Caenorhabditis elegans: one gene and its partner. The protein of the gene in region 1 interacts with the protein of each later gene in a pairwise test. Each region holds a gene or a part of one and is shown in the gene's direction. Other genes may lie near its edges.

Region 1 (3,652 bases):
CTATTCTATTGAGCATTGTGATGTTTGTACCAATTTAAACAAGGAAACATCAACAAAAAGTCACTTGGATCAGTCATCATGTAAATACGCGTCAGTTATGTGTGAACAACTGGTATCTAGTTGATCCTCCGAACTTTGTCACTTCTTTTTCGTTTTTTCGAGAACTGGGCGGCACACAGCAAAAGGGTATAAAATGGTAAGGAAATGGATGGAAAGGCAGAGTCAATTTGCGACCAGCGGTTATTGTACTACAAATAATTGTTATTTGCTATTTTTCAAAGTGTCATAAGTTCTCAACAATGGTGAGTATTTGTTATACATATATTTGTAAAATTTCCTCGTGTCTGTAAGTCTTTAAGTAAACCATTTCCAGAAAGTTTTCATCGTTCTCGCAGCTTTAATTGGATGCTACGTCTACGCTCAAGATGGTAAATATTCTGAAACTTATAATAAGCATGACATATTTTTTTAAATTTAGCTCAAATTCTGCCAGTAGGTGGACAAGTTGGTGGTGGGCAAAGATTGCCATGCCGTGGACGAAATGAAGAATATAAGACTTGTGGAACCGCCTGTGAGCCATCATGCACCAATCCGAACCCGGTAAGCTATCTGCCGACTCTTCGGGTATTTCTGTGCAAACACCGTCACGCGAAAATTCTGCACGCCTAAGTTTGATCTACAAAAAATGCGGGTTTTTTTCCTAGAAAATTGTGACGTCAGTACGCTCTTAACCATGCGAAATCATATGAGATGTATGCGTCTCACCTCCCGCATTTTTCGAAGATCAAAGCGTGTTTTTAGATGTGCACCAAGCAATGCATCAACAACGTCTGCCAATGCAGAAGCGGATACGTTCGTAACGAGATCACCAGACAATGTGTGCGTCAAGCTCAATGCTCCAGACCTGGAACTGGTTTCGGAAGCTCCACTCCGTTCCCATCTCAATCTCCTCAGAGATGCGGACGTAACGAAACATTCAGAACCTGCGGATCTTCGTGTGAGCCGAGCTGTACTACTCCACGTCCACAAGCGTGCACTATGCAGTGTATTGTGAACGTGTGTCAATGCTCTGAGGGATTTGTCCGAGGACCTTCCGGATGTGTCAGACAACGAGATTGTTAAACGAAATGCTTTTTAAAAACATTTTAATCTTGATTCAGCGTACCGCTGAATGATGTTCTGTAAAAATGAGTTTTGCACAATAAAGCTTCTATTCATTCAAAAAATAATCTCGACTTAAAAAACAACTCGTGTTTTTTTGAAATATCGTAATTTTGCTATTAATTTAGAACAAAATATTAGAACAATTTTTAACTGAAAAATAAACAGAAAACGACAGAGTTTGATAAAAACGACGTAATTATTAATAATTACGTCGTTTAATAATACATATGATTGATCAAAATGCTAGAAAACACAAGAAAGCAGCCGAAAATGTTCAAAAAAATTTACGATAACCATTTTTGCGCATCGAGACCGATCTAAATAAATTCTTGCTTCTTTAAAACGGATTACAATACAATTTTCCATCACAGAACGAGACTTTTTCAACAGCCACAAAAAACTCAAATTCAAATTGCCGCCGAAAGTGAATTGGTGCGAGGTAAGTGCGCTCCACCGCGAACATCGAATATTATTTCGAATGCAATGCTTGGCATCGTGCCAGCACCCAAATTATTATTGGTGACTGACTGTTTCTTTTGGTTTTCTTCGTTTTCTTCAAAATTATCGCATAAATATTATATTAACCTTAAGTTTCTGGTAAAAAGTACTTTTAAACACGGAATTTATCATAAATCAAGTGTATTTTGCATTTTTAAAACTTAATAACTGTGGATTATGAATTTATCGATTTTTTTTTGCCTACGTTACAATTTTCAGTTGAAATGACTAAACGCAAGAATGCGAGTAACGCTGGATCGAGCCCAAAAAAAGAGAAGAAATCGGAAACTTTTGCTGCTCTAAAGTCGGTTAAAGCGGAAAAGCGGCCAGCTGCGGACTCTTCGGTAAAAATAACCCAATTTCTTCACTAATAAAAGATGATTCTTCAGGATTCCGAGCCGGAGGACTTCGAAGAAGAGCAAATTACTCATACCGAGGCTGAAGAGACGAGAAATGAAGACAACGGTCAAGCGATTTACGAGCCTGATGTAATGCGCCCTTTGATTGAGTCTTTCTTAGAATTCCTTGTTCAAAGGCAGTCTGAAACGAGTACAGTCCATAACATGGAAAACAAGGTTGCGGAATGGGCTGAAACACGTCGAGATGATAATATTGACGCAGGGTAGCTCTTTCTGAAATTTTGGTTTAAATTAAAAATTTATTATTTCAGATTGTTCGTTCTCGACTTCCGTAAGTATCTGAAAAGTGCGGTGAAATTCAAAAATCTGCAAATGAACGATTCGTGTGCCGCCATATCCACCTATCTGAACAGTGAAAAATCTCTGGTCGAGTACAAGTCAATGCCGGATCGTCCACCTACAAAAATACAGCTTTACATAAAGAAACATCAGATTATGTTGAAAGGAATCGGTGGTGAACCGATGAAAAACGCCTACAAAGCAATGAATGCGGATACGGAGGGTGCGAAAGAACTCGACGAGCTACTCCGAGAAGCTTCGTTGCAGTACATTCCACAACTTCAGGAGTTCCTTGATACGCATCCAAATCTGACAGAAGAACAGAAGCGATCAATCGTTAACAAGATGAAGATGCTCAACAAGAAATACAACTCAAAGGAAATTTCAAGCACACCAAAGAAGAGATCTAGCAAGAAGGATCCAGAGACGGCATTCAGCCTCTTCTGTAGAACAAAGAACGATAAGTGAGTGTTTCTTTGCCGAGTTTCAATTTAAAAAAAAATATTTTTCAGGTATCGTGACCTGTCTGACGAGGAACGCGAGATCAAGCTGCAAAAGAAGTTCGAAAAACTGCCGGCCGCTCAAAAGGATATTTACGAAAGCCTTGCCATCAGCATGTGAACCACCCATTCCCCATTAATTTTAAACGTTATTTTATTAATCTCCAATAATGATCAACTTTTCGCGATACTCTTCATTTACTCGAGAATTTCAACCAAATTTGTTTCACACTGTTTTGTTTTTGTTTCAAAAATATTTAATGAAAATCTGTTATAATCATTGTAATTGTCCACTGAGTGGTTGATTTGCAAGTTTTATAGCTTTTCCTCATACTTTTCTCCTGTTCGTTTTTTTCCTAATTAATCCGATTCCCATTTGTGTCGTCAATTTGTAGAAATGGAGATAATTCGATTAGATGTTTCAATTTTTGTAAGAAATTTCATTGACAAGCATCTAGTACCTGCCGATAGTACTCTAATTCGCTAAAATTTTGGCATTTCAGTTCAAAGGCACACGCTATTTTTCCAAGTGGGTCTCGCCACGATCAGACGTAAATTTTGCACATTTTCTCATAGGTTGTAGAAGTGGAAGCTTGATAGGCAAATTTCAATCAAATTTTAAAGTTCACAGAAATTTTCGGCGATTCTACAAAACGATTTTCATTAAATAAAAGTGCCAAAAAATGAAAAATCTTTGATTTATCTGAAAATAATATCAGCTGAAAAATTCCAGAAAAAGCTCAGAAATGCCCGGAAAGTTGATAATTGTCGAAAACGGAAGCGAAAAGTCGG
Region 2 (4,516 bases), 500 kb from region 1:
GGTAGCTGAAAGGTTTCAATCGTGCCGAGACCAGGTACAGTATTTCCGCGCACATATTTCTCCATTTCCCCGTACTTTTGGTTTTTTTTTTCAAAAACCCGGAGTTTTAGCGCTATTAATTGCGAAAAGTTGAGCGAAATTGCAAAAGTACAGTGTATTTGTTTCCACTTCTACGACTTCAAAAGAGGGCGCATTCATTCAAAATGGTCTCGTCACGCGCCATTCATTGATTTTTGAAGCGCGTGGCGAGACCAATGGGTGGAGCGTGGCGGGACCATTTTGAATAAATGCGCCCTCCTTTAAAGTCGTAGAAGTGGAAAAAATAAACTGTAGAGGTAATTTTGAAACACATGCGGGTACTGTAGGCACAAAGTTCCGATTATAAAAATCGGGATTCATACCTCAAACACTGCCGATCGGAAATTCGAATTAGCCATCTTATACCAATTTTCTGCAGATTCCTCATTTTGTGTGGTGTAAGTAATTTCGTGTCGAGATCTGTAGCGGTTAACTGAGAACTCGTAATTCTAATACCTTATATTACCTCCGAGTTGTACTCAATCCTGGTCTCGAGACGCACATTGGGGGTTAGTCGGTTAGTTGAGAAGCCGCGAATGCTAGTAATTTGAATAAAAATAATGAATTTAAAATCGCCTCTCACAGTTCTGAATTCTTATCTTTTTCCAAATCTACACTTTTTTTAATAGAAAAATACAGTTTACGTAAAACTACATTCCATGTTGATTTTTCAAGCATTCATTTTAAATAAATTATATGTATTTTAAAAAAAAACACGTTAGAAATAGGCTACCGATAATACAAGAATTAAATTATAAACACTATGCACTCTCACAATCAGTTTATGCCCCTTTTGCACATTACTTCAACTTAAAAAAAAATAATTGCACACTTCCTCCAGGACACAGCATTTCAACTTGGAACAAGATTTCCCATTCGCGACAAATTTGTCCAATTTGCCATTTGTTAAGCTCGGAATACTCTAAAATTTGCCTTGAGTTTAGAAGAAAGAAATGAATGAAATAACACAAAATTTTGTGAGTATCTTTAAAAAAAATTTTTTTTCCAGAATGCTACACTTTTAAAGCTTTTTCGTCAATTTTGTGATCCAAAAAATAGTTTTAAAATATCGAGATTTTCCGGGTTCGCCGACCAGGGCAAATTTGTCAAATTTGCCGGTTTTGCCGGACTCTGCAAATTTTGAGATTTGCCGCACCCCCCCCCCCTCTTTCCCATGTTTCCTTTTTTTGCTCGTCCACTGGCACACAAGGCATAGGTACATGCATCTCTGACTTACCACTAATTTACGACTATCCATAAAAGTCCCAAGTCATATTTACTTTCGTTCTCCTTCCCTTTAAGAACTTTGCCGTCCAGGTTCATAGTCATTATATCATAAACTACTAATGATGGGTGGTGAGCCACACACAGTTCCCCATCACCACCGCCGCCGGTCTATCTTATCACTCTGACCTTTTTTGTCTCTTTCTCTAGGATCTCTCCGGGCTCTTTGTTACTTTCCTGCCTGTAACAAAGACAGACATTTGTGGTTAGAGTTGTCTGCTCTAGTCGACTGGAAAAAATGCTCCCTGAAACTACTACTCTTCAACCACTTCCATCTGTTACGACTATCATGAATGAGCCGCCAGCGAGAAGTCCAATGGAGGACTATTATTTATTTAATCAATTTCAATATAATCAAAAGTAAGTTTTGAAATCAAAACTGTTTTATTGCAGTGCATAAAAATGTTGCATAATGTAATTGTATTATTTTTACGGCAAACTTAAATTGAAATATTCACTATCAACAGAATTATATGGTTTTTACATTACTACCAAAATATTACTTTCCTGTAGTAATGTATACAAAAACAACAACTTTGTTCCAACATGTGACCAAAACTATGTTTTATTGAACTCATGTAGCATAACTGATAAAAATCAATATCGAATGCTCCAAAGTATACTGCTTATAATCAGTAGTTTTCAGTGTTTTTGAGAATAGGAATCTTTGAGAATTATTATATTTTTTAAGGTTTATTATTATAATTTGAGAGTCTGAAAAACGAGTTTCATGCTGGGAATGGCTTAAAGTGTATGACTTAACATGTTTCCTGTTTGGCAATTGTAGGTAATTTCCAACTTTCTCTCAAAGTTTAACAATTTCCTACAAAGCAGTTAAAAAATTCTGTCTACCTTTCGTAACTTTCTTTCAAATGTTAACACTTTTTGCAAAATTTTTGCAACTTTCTGTCAATCTTTGGACATTTTCTGACAACTTTTTGCAACTTTCTGCCAACTTTTGATAGCTTTCTTTTAAAGTTTAACAACTTTTTGCCAACTTTTGGCATCGTCCTGCCAAGCTCTGGCAACTTTTTGACAACATTTGGCAACTTTTTTCCAACTTTTGGCAACTTCTTGCAAAACTTTTGGCAACTTTCTGACAAATTTTAACAACTTTCCGCTTAACTTTTCCTGCCAAATTTTACCAACTGCTTACAAATCTTTTGCCTAGTCTCCTGCACCACAAATGTACTACAAACTCAGCTCAGCTTGAGAGAATAAAAACTCCAACTTTTCAGTCCATATGTCTACCCACCGCAGCCCGTGTACTACAATACTTGGCAAGATGCTTCAACTCATCACTTTGATCCATTCCAGAGTTATCAAATTCCATCTCCATACGAACAACCAATTCAGTCGTCAATGTGTACTACTCCATTACAACCACTTGAAGATTCCAGAATTATTTTTGATGAAAGCTTGACGAAAAATGAAAATGAGCAAAAATCCTTTGTGGAGCAAGATAGCAGTTACGAATCATCTGGAAACCGATTTGGTTCACAGAAGGGAAAGAAAATTGCAAAAGTAGGATTCGAGGGTTTAGAATGAAATAAATATTTCTATATGAAATTTTTCAGGTAATTCGTGATGCGTGCTGCTCACACTGCTCAACAACTACAACCACACTTTGGCGTAAAAATGATGAAGGGAATCTTGAGTGCAAGTAAGTTTATATTTTATTATATTCTTTTATATTATTTCTACCAGGTGTGCGCGGCAACCGATTGTTTTTCTGGCAAGTCGGCAAATCGGCAAACCGGCAATTTGTCGATTTTCCGAATTTGCCGAAAATTTTCGGCAATTTGTGGTTTTGCACATTTTTTTTGGAAATTTCCGAATTTCAATTTTAATCGGCAAAATTGTACGCATCCTATGAATGTTCCTACATCTATTCTGAAAAGTAAGCAAGTTCTGTGAAAATATCTAAAGAAAACGGAGAAAACATTTCAAAAATGCACAGTTTTAAATGTTTCCGTCTTATAAAAAATCCCTCTAAAAACAAAAATCATCAATTCAATTTCCGAAAAATCGGCAAATTGTCGGAAATGAAAATTTCCGGCAAAATGGCAAACCGGCAATTTATCGATTTGCCAAATTTGTTGACAAAAAAATTTGCCGAATGGCACTTGCCGCCTACCCCTGAATTTTTTCGAACATTTAGAACATTTACATTCCAAATCAAAAATTCTCAGTTGAACTTGCTTATAATTTTCGATTATTTTTTAGAATTTCGAATTTAAAATTTTATTAATTTTAATGACTAGTTAAATATACATCATTAGTTCCACTATTAAAGTAATATTTTCAGTGCTTGCAACTTGTATTACCGTCACAACAAAGTGAAACGCCCGTTATCCCTCTGCAAGCAGAAGCCAACTACTCGAAAGCGGCGTCAAGCAAAAAAAGAATAGACAAGTTTGGACTGTATCGCCATTTTTCCAGCATATTACGTATCCCTCTACATCAATTGTACCGTGTTCTATGCGCTGATTTGTATTCGTTTTTTAAAAAAGATTATATATCTATGTCATCTTTTCCACTGATATTACCATATTCAAACATTTGTAATGTCAACTTCATTATTATTTTTCTTAAATAAAACGTTAGAGATACTACTTATACAAATATTGTTACAAATAATAATGTTGAAAGATTCTATGATAAGATGAGAAATTGGTGATATGTGGGATATTAATACAAAAGTGGGCTTTAATGTAGAAATTGAAACGATGAGACCAGGGACAGATGAAACCATCAATTTCTATATTCTGCCAAGCAGCCTCTAATAAATGCCGAGTGTGCAGACTCCGCCCCTCTTTCGCGTTTTTTTGGCTCGCGAAAGAAGGTAACACTACGTTTGGCTTTACAGCGTCACGAAGTTGTCCCAAAGTTGTCACAAAGTTGTCACAAAGTTGTCACGAAGTTGTCACGAAGTTGTCACGAAGTTGTCACGAAGTTGTCACGAAGTTGCCACGAAGTTGTCACGAAGTTGTCACGAAGTTGTCACGAAGTTGGCACGATGTTGTCACGAAGTTGTCACGAAGTTGTCACGAAGTTGTCTCGAAGTTGTCACGAAGTTGTCACGAAGTTGCCACGAAGTTGTCACGAAGTTGTCACGTAATTGTCACGAAGTTGTCACGTAATTGTCACGAAG

The links. The genes of interacting proteins can lie anywhere in the genome.
Region 2: the proteins of penr-1 (region 1) and elt-7 interact in a two-hybrid assay, tested with the Caenorhabditis elegans proteins (one large-scale study listed by BioGRID).

Annotation. Positions count from the first base shown.
Region 1 is NC_003283.11:5,267,604-5,271,255, forward strand, and holds penr-1 (HMG box domain-containing protein), read left to right. Parts: upstream 1-1,881; 5' UTR 1,882-1,886; coding exon 1,887-2,006; intron 2,007-2,051; coding exon 2,052-2,284; intron 2,285-2,332; coding exon 2,333-2,824; intron 2,825-2,872; coding exon 2,873-2,981; 3' UTR 2,982-3,141; downstream 3,142-3,652. Other genes in the region: spi-2 (TIL domain-containing protein), read left to right, coding at 300-302, 374-428, 479-600, 802-1,122.
Region 2 is NC_003283.11:4,769,114-4,773,629, forward strand, and holds elt-7 (Transcription factor elt-7), read left to right. Parts: upstream 1-1,556; 5' UTR 1,557-1,600; coding exon 1,601-1,722; intron 1,723-2,600; coding exon 2,601-2,886; intron 2,887-2,939; coding exon 2,940-3,025; intron 3,026-3,670; coding exon 3,671-3,773; 3' UTR 3,774-3,973; downstream 3,974-4,516. Other genes in the region: C18G1.9 (FERM domain-containing protein), read right to left, coding at 402-498, 545-582. UniProt on the Caenorhabditis elegans protein: Transcriptional activator that binds to the consensus sequence 5'-[AT]GATA[AG]-3'.